Linked DNA regions of Sus scrofa. The protein of the gene in region 3 interacts with the protein of the main gene of each other region in a pairwise test. Links are inferred from orthologs where the notes say so. Each region holds a gene or a part of one and is shown on either strand. Other genes may lie near its edges. The genes, in order: GEMIN4, CREB5, SPRY1 and OTX1.

Evidence for each region.
Region 1: the proteins of SPRY1 (region 3) and GEMIN4 interact in binary tests that used the Homo sapiens proteins (3 or more experiments, as listed by UniProt). The link is inferred for Sus scrofa from reciprocal best matches to the Homo sapiens genes SPRY1 and GEMIN4.
Region 2: the proteins of SPRY1 (region 3) and CREB5 interact in binary tests that used the Homo sapiens proteins (3 or more experiments, as listed by UniProt). The two-hybrid records come from large-scale screens. The link is inferred for Sus scrofa from reciprocal best matches to the Homo sapiens genes SPRY1 and CREB5.
Region 4: the proteins of SPRY1 (region 3) and OTX1 interact in binary tests that used the Homo sapiens proteins (3 or more experiments, as listed by UniProt). The two-hybrid records come from large-scale screens. The link is inferred for Sus scrofa from reciprocal best matches to the Homo sapiens genes SPRY1 and OTX1.

The regions. Positions count from the first base shown.
Region 1 is NC_010454.4:47,114,719-47,117,207, reverse strand, and holds the end of GEMIN4 (gem-associated protein 4), read right to left. Parts: coding exon 2,144-2,489; 3' UTR 509-2,143; downstream 1-508. UniProt on the Homo sapiens protein: The SMN complex catalyzes the assembly of small nuclear ribonucleoproteins (snRNPs), the building blocks of the spliceosome, and thereby plays an important role in the splicing of cellular pre-mRNAs.
Region 2 is NC_010460.4:43,844,917-43,848,484, forward strand, and holds part of CREB5 (cyclic AMP-responsive element-binding protein 5), read right to left. Parts: intron 3,102-3,568; coding exon 2,993-3,101; intron 2,085-2,992; coding exon 1,921-2,084; 3' UTR 1-1,920. UniProt on the Homo sapiens protein: Binds to the cAMP response element and activates transcription.
Region 3 is NC_010450.4:100,857,607-100,860,843, forward strand, and holds part of SPRY1 (protein sprouty homolog 1), read right to left. Parts: exon of another isoform or gene 3,152-3,237; intron 2,311-3,151; exon of another isoform or gene 2,124-2,310; intron 1,326-2,123; 5' UTR 1,271-1,325; coding exon 311-1,270; 3' UTR 1-310. UniProt on the Homo sapiens protein: Inhibits fibroblast growth factor (FGF)-induced retinal lens fiber differentiation, probably by inhibiting FGF-mediated phosphorylation of ERK1/2. Inhibits TGFB-induced epithelial-to-mesenchymal transition in lens epithelial cells.
Region 4 is NC_010445.4:78,900,216-78,904,464, forward strand, and holds the start of OTX1 (homeobox protein OTX1), read right to left. Parts: upstream 2,831-4,249; 5' UTR 2,756-2,830; intron 2,401-2,755; 5' UTR 2,332-2,400; intron 761-2,331; 5' UTR 652-760; coding exon 555-651; intron 1-554. UniProt on the Homo sapiens protein: Probably plays a role in the development of the brain and the sense organs. Can bind to the BCD target sequence (BTS): 5'-TCTAATCCC-3'.

The DNA.
Region 1 (2,489 bases), on a different chromosome or scaffold from region 3:
GGTGTGTCCCTCAAGCCTTCTCACCGGATCGACACACGCAGGATGCTCTTGTGAAAACTCCAGGGTAACAGCAAGTGACAGCTACTGCACTATTTGCTGCGTAACCCCCCTCTTTGACATTGTCCTTCTCATATGAAGCAGAAAGGACTTCTGTACCCCAAACCCTGAGATATCTTAGCTAGACTGCCTCCCGATAAGCCAGAGCCTGTGGTCCAAAGCCTGCTCCTATCTGAGTTACCACCGCGTGGCCCCAGGAGGCTGGAGGGCAAGAGCGCAAGACAGCCCTGGCCGAAACCTGTCCTTGGACGGACTTCTTCACCTGCCATTTGCAAAGAGGATACTCTGGTGCCAACACTAAATGTCCCTTAACAAGGATGGGGTTTAGAACCCGCTACCATGAAGTTTTTCCCCAAGAGGTAGTTAAAAAACTAGGTTTTTAAAAGTGCCTTTTACTTAATCCATTGTTGTTCGTGAACTTTTAAAGTACTGAATGTGTAACAGTGTCTTCGATTTTGACTATTTCAGTCTTTAATGGGTGCCATTTAAAAATCATAAAATGCTGTAATTTTTTTTACTGTTTTGTTTACCATCAGTGTATCCTGATAAATCACTCCTGTGGTGATTAAATTGCACTAATATTTTCCAACTCATTCTCGTTTGTGAAATACAGCCATACCAACTCTAAGATCCATCCTGTGACCCAACGTGAATGGCTGCCGTCTGCTCGTTTCTGGCCTGAGTTCTCATCTAAGCGGCAGGGGGGCCGGCTGCCGGGGCGGGGGATGTGTGAGCGCTTTCCAGCCTCCAGGAGGGCCTGACTCACACCTCTCTTGAACATGATCCTGTAATTCTGGTTCTGGGAAGACGAGGCAGCGTTCCAGAGTTCAGGCCCAGTGGAATCATGGACCTTTAGGCCCTTCTCTTCCCAGGTGAATCCCAACTAGGAGTCTGTCCGGAGGGCGCACAGCCAATGGGAGGCCGTGGAGCCAGCCCACTGCAGGGGGGGAGGAAACGTGCACAGGCCCTCGCTCTGACCGGGGCGTGGATCTGACCGGGACGGGGCTCCTCCTGTCCTTCCTGGCCTCCCAGGTAGACACCTTGCCGGCCAGTCCTCATAGCTCTGTCACAGATGCTGGGCACGTGAAATTCTCATTTTCACGCATCTTTGCACACCATCCCTGCTCCTGCTCATTCTTTAAACTGTGACAACCCATCCGAGGCAGAAGATAATTACACCCGTCCCCTACACACGCCTCAGCTGTGTTTACCAGGCAGTTTCAGCACAGGCCCTTGGGGATCCACTGAATGACGGGGGGGGCGGTCAACTCTGTGGGGCATCTTCTGAAGGTCATTGATCTGCCCCCCAACATCTCATGTTCTTGGTCCAACCCTCTCCTTTCACAGAGGCTGCAGGCCCTGGAGACACACCAATCACAGGGCCGCCTGGGGGCAGAGGAGGGTCCTTTCCGTAGTTGCTGCCCCTTCCAAGAGCCCTCAAACGACTCTTACAACGAGTCCCAGTACACAACACCGCCCTTGTGATGGGGCCACTTGGGTGGTTCCCCCTTTAGACTTACCTGCCAAACTCTCGGGTGGAGGCCAGTTACGATGCTGTTCCTCCCGGCCTGACCTGATCTTTAAGACGGGCTGAGCCCGAGTTCAGAGTGTGTTGCCGAGCCCAGACCACTGATAAGAAAGGCTCAAAAGAGGAAAGATGGGCGTTCCCTTTGCAGCTCAGTGGGTAGGAACCCGACACGGCATCCCTGACGATGCGGGTTTGATCCCTGGCTTCGCTCCGTGGGTTAAAGAACCGGGCGCTGCCGCAAGCTGTGGTGTTGGTTGCAAATGTGACTTGGATCTGGCGTGGCTGTGGCTGTGGCGTAGTCCCACAGCAGGTGTGGCCCTAAAAGGGCGGGGTGGGGGAAGGCGGTGGGGGGGGGAAGAAGAGGCAAGATGAAACTCCAGAGAGCATTTTATTATAATTTGTATGTTACAAATACCTAAGAAACTATTTTCTTTGCACTGCTACTGTCACATTTTTGGGCTTCTGTACAATGTCACGTACCTGGAAAGTTTGCGTTTCTCAGCTCAGGGCCTGCAGACCCCGCCAGGGTGAGGCCCAGCTATTTTCTGATCCCCGAGGTCAGAAGCTGCTGATCTTCTGCAGCAGGGTTTGGCGCCGCTCCTCAGGGGTGATGTTCTCGGCAATGGACTTTAAGAAGCGCTGCTCGTTGACTTTCTGGAGCAAGGAGCTAACGGAAGGGTTGGTCTTGCTCAGGGTCTCGTAGCAGGTGAGGATCTCCAAGGCCAGAACGTAGAGTGGTTCGCACAGCTCTTGGTGGAGCATGGCCATGATGTGCAGGACATGGCAGAACACCTGCGTGTAAAAAAAGAGGGCTTCCTGGCTCAGGTCCTGCTCTTGTCCTTGGGCCCAAGGGCCAACGGACTGGATCAGCCTCACTGAGTCCAGAAGGCCGGTCAGGCTGTTA
Region 2 (3,568 bases), on a different chromosome or scaffold from region 3:
TTTCTTCTTTTTTTTTATGCTTTTGCTTTTGTTTTGATTTTTTTAGACCCTATATTCAAGTTAGGAGTTTCACTGGAAACTCAAAACTTTCTTTTGAAAGCACTGCATACATGAAAAGATCGCTGACAAATACTGATTTAAAAAGTAAATTATTAGATACAACTGAAACTAGTTATAAAAACCATGCTTCATGACTCTTATATTTTCTTTTTTTTCTCCAAAATAGATTCTTACACTATAGTGAGAGAAAAAAAATCCTTCCCTTTTCTGAACTCTTATAAAAGCTACACCTTTTGTAAAATACTATTCTTTTAAATTCCATAATCTCCCTTTCTCTTACACACACACACACACACACACACATGCACGCGCACACGCAAGCACAGTCACACTCACGTCCCAAGGTCAAGCATTCAAATGGAGATGAAACAGCAGTACCTGCCTACACTGCTAGAGAAAATCATTAGCCCCAGCGATTTGTGAGATGCACTATTAAAACCTTAGCATAAGTAGAATGGCTTGTTTCAAGGAGGCACAACTGTGGTTCAGGACTACCTGCTCTTTCTAATGGGCAAAGTCCACGCAAATTGCTGAAAATAGAAATCAGAATTATTCAGAAAAGTGGAGTAGCCATGTCCACGGGATTCTGTCAGCAGCTGAAGAGCACTTTAACTGTTGTGTGAGGGCAGAAAGCACCTCCATGGAAATTAGATTTCTTTCTCTCTTTGTTCTTCCAGAAGTTCATCTACTTTCAGCCACTAGGACAGCCAAGCTGGTTCCATAGGCTTAAGGAAAAAAAATAATCTTAGGCTATTAGCAGCTGATGATTGAACAATGTAATCTGTGTAGTGCACAGAGCCCTTCTGAATTATTATATAGTACATGGATTTTCAACATTATAGACACGCCATATAAAACCAGTTGTAATTCGAGGGTGTGACGTTATAGCTTGGCATTATAATTTGGACTTTTCACAATTGACGCTTACAAAGTTCCCTTCCCCAGTGTCTCCACAGCTGGCATTCAACAGTGCTTCACCTATGGCTAAGCCAACTTTTATTTGCTCTGATTATTAAAAACATTAAATCAGGCACATTAAACATCTCCCGGTTACTAGTTTGTAAAAAGCAAGAGTTGAATGAAATCCAGCTGTAGGTCACAGGCAAGGGAAGCCACGGCTAGGTCCACATTAGCTTTTTTTTTTTTTCCTTTAAATATTATTTTCTTCTTTACATGCAATGCTAAAGGTGGGGGGGGGGACTACAACAGAAGAAAGTAAAAATGAAGAGTCAACAGGGAGCCCAGAGGTAAAAGTACAAAAGGGAATTTGGGCATTCTAGGAAGTGGACCAAGAGGAGGAGGAGAGGTGGTAAGATGCTTGGTGGTTTTATGTGGATGTCGATGGATCTTACACTTTTTTATGATAAAAGAAAAGAGTTGTGGGGGATTCTGGTGACATCACAGCCAACTCAACATGAGTTATGATGTCATCGGACCTCTCCCCCAGTTGCCTTGCAATCTGTTTACTGGACATCTAGGTAAGCCTCATTTTGGCTAAAAGCTGCGGTTTAACAAGATTCACCATTTCTTAGGCAAAGGGTTGGACTGATAAGAATGAAACAATGACTATATACAGAAAGAGTTCAGTTTATAAACAAGAAACCGGTACCAGAAAATTGGAGAAAAGCACCGAAGCATTTCCCAAGCGGATAGATTATTAATTGCATAACTCCCTTTTTTTTTTCCTTATATAACTAAGTATAAAAGACAACATTTCCAATAATAACTATAAAAATGAAAGCCAGTCTTCGAAGGGCTGAGGAGTCGTCCAGGTCTGAGTGAATTCTAAAAATGCCCTTAAAAGAAAGGACGCAGGAAACACGACAGCTCTTCTTGGAGGCAAGGTCTGACCCTCGGGTTTTAGAGAATCGGATTCAGGTCTGTTCTGTGAGTGGTGAGCTGACTGAGGGTGGAGCTTCCTACCACCTCGCTGACGGCCGAGGACGTGGTGATAGTATTATGCTGGATGACTTGCTGCTGAGAGCACGTGGGGACAGGGCTGGCGGGAGGGCTACTCTCTGGACCTAGGGAAAAACACACACACACACCCCAATATAGCTCCTTCTGGGGGGGGGGTTGGGGGTGACTCCAAAGACAGCGCTAGGTGTTTACTGGAAATAGGAGGGTTTCACACATATTCTCCCTGAGGTTAATTTCCAAACCATCTTTTAAACTACTGTCACAAAGCTAGGCCTTCCCAGTCTATAGCCACAAGCAAAGCCATGCTTTCTAGATCAGCAACATGATTTGATGGGCTTGAGTCTTGGCGCATGAACGCCCCATCTGGTCTTTTCGAGTCGCCCTCCGTCTAACAAATGTGGAAGAATACTCAGATGTGGTGGGAGAATCTGTGTTGTTCCATCTAAAAAACTATTTGAAGAGACACTGACCTTCAGCCACGAATCCCTGCTCCTCCTCCCGTCCCCACTCAATTAGCGTGGCGCCTATTGGCCTTCCAGGTGCAGAGACTGGGATCTAGGAAAAGGGACCAGGAAAAGGGACCCATCTTTGCATATTGGTAAACTGAGACCTGGTCACTAGCTTTGTGGCCCACTGAATACCATACTGCACATCTGAGACACTGGATATGATTCACCCACAGCCTGTTTCCCAGCCCATAGATCTCTCTGGAAGGCTGCTTAGCCCACTGGAATTGGGCTCCTACTGACTGCGGAATTGGAATTTGGTAGAATTTTACAGTCTGAAAGGTGAGGGAAGGTCTGGCTAGAAATTATCAGAAGGTGGTGGAAATGGTGAGGAACAGGGGTCAGAAAAGAAGGATTCCCCCTGGGCAGCAGTCCAGCAGCCACTCCAGAATTCTAGCAGGATTTCTGCCTGGGTGTGCACTCTATGTTTGTTCTTTTAATACAAGCCAATGTGAAATTAGCGGCAAAAACCAAGACACGAAAAAAGCAAAAAGTCAATGACTTACTTAGATATCCTTGTGATTCTTTCTGCATGGCTGTTATGGGGCAGTCTTTATGCGTTAACAACAACTGTTTCAGCTGTGCCACTTCATTTTTCAACATGGACACTTCGTTCTGGAAAGAGACAGATCAAAGCCATGTGAAGAAGACCAGAGAACACAAGCCCAAGGCCCTGTGCACTTTAATAATACAACGGGCACACTTCTGTCACGTCTGGATGACATTAATAATATTATTTAACAGGACTTACCTGAAAATGTGTAGCTTGCCATCACTTTGGCCCTCCCACTTACCAGAGGCTTTCTGAAGAGACTAGGTTTAACTCAAGAGCTGAATCCTATTAAAAGTCCCGAGTTGAGACGGTGAACTCGGGACCAGGCTACTTGGGTGGGACCCTGCCTTCTACACTGACTGGGGATGCTGGGCAGGTGACATAACCCGGCCGAGCTCCAGCAACCTTGTTTTTCAGACAGGGATGCAAAGAGTACTGTGTTCTTGGAGTTGCTGGGAGGATTAAATGAGGGAAGAGACGTAAAACACACAGAACAATGCCCAGCACACACTAAGCTCTCAGTAAACTT
Region 3 (3,237 bases):
GCACAACTTTGGAAAGTTGCTTGAAGAACAAAAAGGCTACACAGAAGCCCACTGGCTTTCAATACCCTCTCAAGTGGATGGCAGAGGCTCTTGTCATAAGGCGGAGCCAGGTGCAGTTTCACAGTTCACTCTTACTGAAGATCATCCATTAGAGAATAAAATCCATGAGTCAAACCTTGGGAAGAGGGGTAGAGAAGGTGGAAAACAGGGAAGAATGGTAAAGAAAACAAAACCAGTATCTAATAGGATCTTTTTAAACAGCCACAGCTTGAAATTGAGCAGTTCAGGAGGTTCAACCCACCTCCAGGAATCATGATGGTTTACCCTGACCCCGGGAGGGGCAGCTCTCCAGCTTACAATAGACAGTGTTGGAGTTCTTACATCGGCACCCTGGGCGATGGATCCAGTCATAACACCCCCTGCACAGCTTCAGGCATCCCTTAGCAGGAGGATAACAGAGTAAGCAAGGTAAAAACAGAGACATGGCTCCCATACACAGGTACCTAGAGCAGCAGTGTGACTGTGAACAGGAGCAAGGATTATCCGAGTAAGAATCCCCTTCATCGTCATTGGAGCAGTGGTAGAAGATGCCCTTGACTAAGCACATGCAGGTGCCATATTCCACCATGCTCTCAGCAGAGCAAAGGCACTGATGGTTACAGGCCAAACAGGATGGCAGGGTCCTGGGAGCTGTGCATTCTCCACACTTGCACTTCCCACACTGTTCGCAAATGAACTTGTGCTGTGTCAGGTCCTCTTTCAAGGTACCCTTTAAGTCATCCACAATCAGCTGCTTGGGCTGGGTCCGGATTGCCCTTTCAGACCTATGACCAGGAACTGGTCTGGTTGGTGGTGACCTCCCTAATAGCCCCTGCTCGGAAGAGGCACTGCTGTTGCTCCCAGAACTGGCTGCACTTCCGGTGCTGGTTGATCTGCTCAATATGGGGCCTCTGGCATTATTTGAGAGTCCTGCATGGCCCAGGTGGCTGGTAGGTCTATGCTCGTAGTTATTATTCACATTAATTGGTATGATTTCGTGAGTCCTTTCATGCTTTTCTTGTCTTGGTGCTGTCCGAGGAGCAGGTCTTTTCACCACTGACGGCCCTTCTGTGTATTCATTGCTGCCTCTGATGGCCTTGATTTGGTCTAAGGACAAAATAGCAGCAGGCTGAATCTCCCTCTCATAGTCTAGCCTCTGACGGCTATCCAAAGCAGGCTGCTGGATCACAACTAATGAACTGCCACTGCCATGTTGATTTTGGGGATCCATGTGTAGTGCTCTTCAATTCTGCCAATCAGTGGAAACCTGGCATGCATCTGAAATCCTAAAAGGAAATCAAGGATGGAAAAAAAAAAGAGAGAGAGAGAAAAATAAATGACAAGAAGCATTTGGGGGAAGTGGGGGAGGCGAGAAATCCCATCAAGTCACAAATTGCCTAAACCACCTGGTAATGATCTCCCTCATCAGCGGATTACAATGATGCTGGGGTCCTGGCCAGAGTCCAATTCCAAGAGAGACTAAGGACCACATCATAGAAGAAGAATGTAAGCAAGAGACCCCACGCCATAAGAATTAGGAGTTTTTTTCAACTTTTAAAAAGCAGAATCAAGAAGTAATATCTTCCTGTTTGTGAATCTAACAAACAATTAAAGTGGAGTACGCCCTTGTGGGGAATACTGAGTATAAGCACTAATAAACAGCTCTCATCTAAAGAAAGCTCAGTAACAGTTCATGGGTGTTTTCCAAAAAGGAAAACATCCACCTTAAAAAAAATTAAGAACGGTTTTGGTGCCATTGCCTTTTGTTATTTGATGTGAACAAGCATTAGATTAATGGTGAAAAATTAGTCAAGGTATACTCCATGCACTAAAAAAAAAATTCAAGAGATTCTAAACTAAAATGAAATCTCGAAATAAAAGGTCATTTACAGCAGAAACCAAAATTTTAAAACTAGCTAATTAATCTACAAATTGCAAAAATGAACATAGACAAATACAGTTCTTGGTGTTTTACAGCCTCTAAACACACAGAAAACTCAATATACAGTTCGGTGAGTGTTAAGAGTATTCACAATTGAAATCATGAAAAGATTTTTTGTAAGTTTAAATAAGGGCTCACTCACCTAACGAGATAACTTTCATGCACAAATAAGTGTTAGGCCTTTAAAGTAGTATTGGGAAATCCTGGCCATTTTAATTATCTGTATTTCCTCTAATTTAAAAATCTGTATTTATGTGCCAGATCTTGATTTTCAAAAGCACTGCCAACTCCGAATCAATGTGCTTCTTGTAATAAAGTACAGTGATATCCTGATGAAAATAAGCATTTGCGTTTCTATACCAAGAGTAAATTATTTCTCACTTATAATGTATTCTCCATAAAACAAACTATCGAACTTAAAAACATTTCTGTTTTCAAGGTTGTAAATTAGATTATTTTCATACAAATTCCTCCCAAAGTCTACAGATCTGATCCAATTCAAGAAAGAAAAGAAAAAAAAAATCCATTCTCCACTTCTACCTTGAGCCAAACACATCAGCTTAAGGAATAAATCGGAAAGAAGACCATTTCATCTATCAACTTCACTGAGTGTCGCTGGACTAAGTCTTACACGTTAACTTCTTGCAGTTCCCCTCCCTCATTCTCCCAAAGCAGATCTTCACGTTTCCACTTTCTTATACCTTCTCTGAACTTAAGGAGAAACACATTCACAACCTGCTGGGTTTAGTCCTGGATTTCTTAAGGGCTGTTCAAAATACTCCATGGTTATTCTGCACAATATCATTCTGCCTCGCAAAAAACTTTTTAACCCACTATTTTTAAAACAAAAATAATCTAAAAGTACTAAGTCAGACTCCAAGCGAAAAAAAAAACACACAAAAAAACCCACATAAAAACCCGTGGATCTGAAGGTAGAAAAAAACACCAGGCACAACCGAATCTGAGTTTTAAATGCTAGTTGTAACGAAGATCATCCTGGGCGGTAAAGGAGACTACCAGATAAAAGGAGAAAGCAAAGAGAAAGAGCCACCTCTGATCTGAAGTAAAGCCCCTTTTCAAGCAGTGACAGTCCTCCATCTAGTTCCAAACACGGTCACAGGTTCTCGATCGCCTGTTTGCCCCAAGAAACCCCAAATCCAAGTCGAATACCTTTTCGGCCAATCCCATCACATCCTAAGGATCACCGCGGATTTCCAAAACCTTTTGGCGTATCCCACCAAAGATGCTTACAAATC
Region 4 (4,249 bases), on a different chromosome or scaffold from region 3:
GGGGAAGGGGTATGCAGAAACGCATCCTGGAAAACATTTTCAGAGGGAATAAATGGGAGTGAAGGAATGAGAGCTAGAAAAGAAAGCCAGGATTTGGCTTAAGTCGTCCAGCAGTGCAGAAGTTGGTGCAAGCCACCACTCTAGAGGACAATTTAATTGGGGGGTAAATCTCCCTTCCTCAGCTCAGCCAGTCGTTTTGCATAAGGCAAGTCCTGGCCCTTCCTGTTAGGGCCTAGCTAAGTGTCCAGATTCCTCATTCAATGTTGGGGGAAAAGCATAGTTTCACACACACATAGAGACACACCAAAAACAAACAAAAAAAGCCACCCATGGGAAACAAATCCTGGGTTGGCAGTGAGGCCACAACAAGAGACAGGGGGCCGGTGTGACCCCTGCTTCTCACGTTTGGCTGCCCTGGCCCTCCTCACCGACTGCTGTGCCCTGCATTGCATGAGAAGACTAGGCAACCGGCTCCCTGGACCTGCTTTGGGACAAGCCTGTGCTCAAACTCCAGAAGCCGGGGGTCCCCAAGATTTGCAGGGACTGGTGCTCACCGGGATAGCCCACAGAGGGGTGCAGGAGGTCCATGGCTGGACCAGCCAGTCCCAGCCCATTCATTCCGTATGGGGGTTGTTTGAGGTAAGACATCATGCTAACAGCTGGGTGGAGGCGCCCCGACGGATCCAGGGGGCCTGGGCCAGGCGCAGTGCGGGCCTCCCACTGCGAAGTCCTTCAAGCTCTGTTGCGTCTGGGGCCAGGCCTATGAAGACAGGATATATGCAGAAACCATCATTCTGAGCCATCACAGCTTCCTAGTCTTGTCGGAGGCAAGGAGTCACAGGATGGGGAAGGGGGAGTAGATTATGGAACTATGCAGGGCGGTCAACTCGGCTCCATTGAGGCCCAAAGGCCAAGGCTTCTTAGAAAAGTAAACTTTCCTGGATCGTCATTTCCTCTTTTGGGGCTTGGAATAGGGCGACTCTAGGAATGAGGAAAGGTTAAAATCAGGGCCAAATTTGGGAGGTCAGAGCCTGAACTACAGAATGCACTAGGTCCCAAGTCTAGGCAAAATTCTTGGTCGGGTCGGAGCCGGCCTCACTCTGAACAAGCAAACATTATTCGCAGCGCCCACGCGATAGTCGGCCCAGAACAGGAGCGGTTGTTTCAGTTTGTTACAAATGTTTTTAAAGTGGGACGAACAGGTAGACACGAGAGAGCCTAGGTGAGGCACTGCGGAGGGCTGGCAGCGCCTGGGCCTCTCTGGGACCCACTGCCTACTTAGGAGAGAACGTTCCTTTCAAGGTCTCCGGAGCTGGTTCCCCGGCTCCAGACCCCACAGTCTCAATTGACCTCTCTGCTCCCAGCCGCCCAAAGATTGCTTACCCCGAATCCTACCCACATCTCAACCACAGTTACTGGCCCAGGTTCTGGAAAAGCGAACAGAAAGGGCCCCTGTAGAGGTGGCGGTTCTAAGACGTGGGCTGAGGTCAGGGGCGCCTCGCCACATCCGCAATCCTTCTTCGCCAGCGCAAGGTGGTCCTTCTTTATGATCTTTCCTGGCTGCGGACAATCGGGTCCCGGCGGGGGTGAAAAGTGACCGGGCCAGCTCCCTCAAGGGTCGGCGGCTTTGGGAGGCCTAAGCGCAGCAGCTCCGGTGCACTGCCTGCCTATCCTACTAGCTGAACTCTTGGCCCCGGGACCCTATCGAGACTAGAGAACTAAGGCCCCGGCAGCGTGGCTTGCGCTGACCCGGGCTGGAGGGTCGAAGCTTGGTTTCTCTGGTTATCCCCAAACTGAGGCGCTACAATCAGGGGTCAGGAAGTGGCTCTGGGGGAGTGGGGATGAGGCCCAAGAGGACCTGTCGCGTCATCCCGCTTCACGGAAACTCAAAGCAGGCCTGGGACCCGGGCTAGGGAGTTTCGGGAAGGAAGAGCTAAAGAAGACGCCCGGTCCTATCCCCATCAGACCCACGGCCTAGGCCGGGGAACCCAGTTTGCAGGGAAGGCGACAGAAGGGAAAAAGCGGGGGCTCTACGGCCAGAGGAGAATGTAACTCAGCCGCCGCGACTCTGCTAGGCTACAGCGTGAGTTTTCAAAGACTTTCTTCAAACTTAGCACTTCAGCTCTTTACTTCGGAGGAGGCGGGGGAGGGGCGCGGGGCCTCAGCAGAGCTCTGGGGTCCTCCGCTCACCAAGAGGGGAGCCAGGCCGCTCCCCAGCCCCGCCCACGTGCCGGGGACCTAGGAAGCGGGGACCCATTTGGAAAGGGGGAGGCAAGAGCAACCGACGCGTTCATTCCCAGAGTCCCGGGCGGCCCGCGGCTTTCTTCTTACCTGCCCTCAGCTGCCGGGGCGGCTCACCATCTACCTCGAGCCCTCACACTGACCCTCTGCGCAGCCAACCTGCAAAACAGAGCCGCACAGGAATTACCCGCCGGGCTGGGCGGTAGGTCTAGGCCCCCCGGATTTCTTTCTTCCAACTTCCCTCCTCCCCTTCTCTTTCTTTCCAGTGGCTTTGTGCGTGTCCCTCCAGGTTTCACTTTATTGCACGGACACTTTGTTTGCAAAGCCCTACACGCTCCCGAGACTACCTCGCCCGAGACCGCGCCAAGGGGCCGCAAGGAGGAGGGTGGGGTAAGAGGGGCAGAGTTGGGAGGTGGCTCTCGGCTGCGGTTCCACTCTGTGCAGCGTGGAGGCGGTGGGGGCTGGGGAAGTCCTGCAGAGGCACTTTGCAAACTAAATAAATCAAGCGATTTACCTTGTCGGAGTGGCTTGTCTCGCTGGGTTGTTTAGGTGATTGGAAATGTAGCCTGATGAAGATTGATCACCTTTCTACTGCCCTCCCCGGGTATGTGAACGCGAGGTGAGTGCGTAACGGGGCGAGGCTGCCAATCCCGGGCCCCGCGCGGGCTGAGTGACAGGGAACCGGGCAATGGCAGCACGAGCCGGGGGTTACCTCCGCGCGCCCCCGCCCTCCCCCGCCCCCTGCACCCCGCCCTCACCGCCCGCCCGCCCCGCCCCGGTCGCGCGCTAACTCAGGGGCTTGGCTGGCAAACGCGGCGCGGAGCAAGGCGAGGAAAGCCAGCGCAGCGCGGGAGCCCAGGCCGCGGAGGGGGATGCTAGTCCCAAGGCCGCCCCGGGGACCCCCGCCCTTCTCTCGCCCTTTCGGCGCCCTAGAGGGAGTGGCTGAAAGGAGGCGAGGTGCTGGAAAACCGGTTCCCTCGCTCTCCGGCGCGCCACCCGGCTCGGCGGCCCGTGGACCCCGGAGCCCCTCTCCCCGCGCTTTGGGTCCCAGCGTCTTCATCCACCGCGCCACCACCTGCAGACGGACGCCGCGGGCGGCTCGTGCCGGCACAGGCTACTTTGCCGAGCGCGGGAGCAGCTCCTAGTGCGCAGATCCCGCCTCGGCGCCTCAGGACTCCGGCGTTCCGGAACAGCACCCGTAGGGGAGGCACCGCCGCTTACCTGCTCTTCGGCGTCTCCTGGGGTTTCCAGTCTCCGTGAAGAGTGTTTGCAAATTCGAAACGCTTCTTCTGAAATGTTGGAGCCCAGAGTCCCCTCCCCCTTGCACACACACTTAACTTCTGAATCGAAAGATTTGGATAGGAAACTTTCTCTTTCACATTGTCTCCTTTTAGGTCTCCTTCTTCTAGGGACAATCTGGTGGAAAACGCAGCCACAGACCCCCGCCCTCAATTTCTTTTCCTCATTCCGCAAGAGCCTCCTTGAGGCGATCTCCCCGGATTGTTCGTACTGGCGAAGCCCATTTCCCAGTCGAACAAACTTCTCAAACACCTCTACCTGGGTGGACTTTTCAAAGAGCAAAAAAAGTGTTTTCGCTCTAACACTGAACAAGGCAATTCTTTTAAATGGCACCTCCTCCTGAATATTAGGCACGACTTTTCTCCCTTTCGAGGAATTCCTACCGCATCTTCCTAATCCCCCCGCCTCCCTTCCAGCCCAACAGGCGGAGTGAAAAGTTTGAACTGAAATAAGTGTGAGGGCGAGTCAAGGAGCCGCCGGGCGCTTCGCGGTGGGGAGTGCCGGCACTGTTGGGCCTCGGGGTCGGGCACCGAGAGCAGACCCGGCGCGGGGCGAGGAGGTGGAAAAGGAAGGGGGAGCCCGCTGAGTGAAAGGGGGCCGCGGCCGCCGTTCATCAAAGTGCTTCCCCCTCCCCCAAGCGACACTTTCCTTTGGAGTCCGAATAAAATACGGTAACAGAATATGATGGAGGGCACACTGTTTCCTTAAC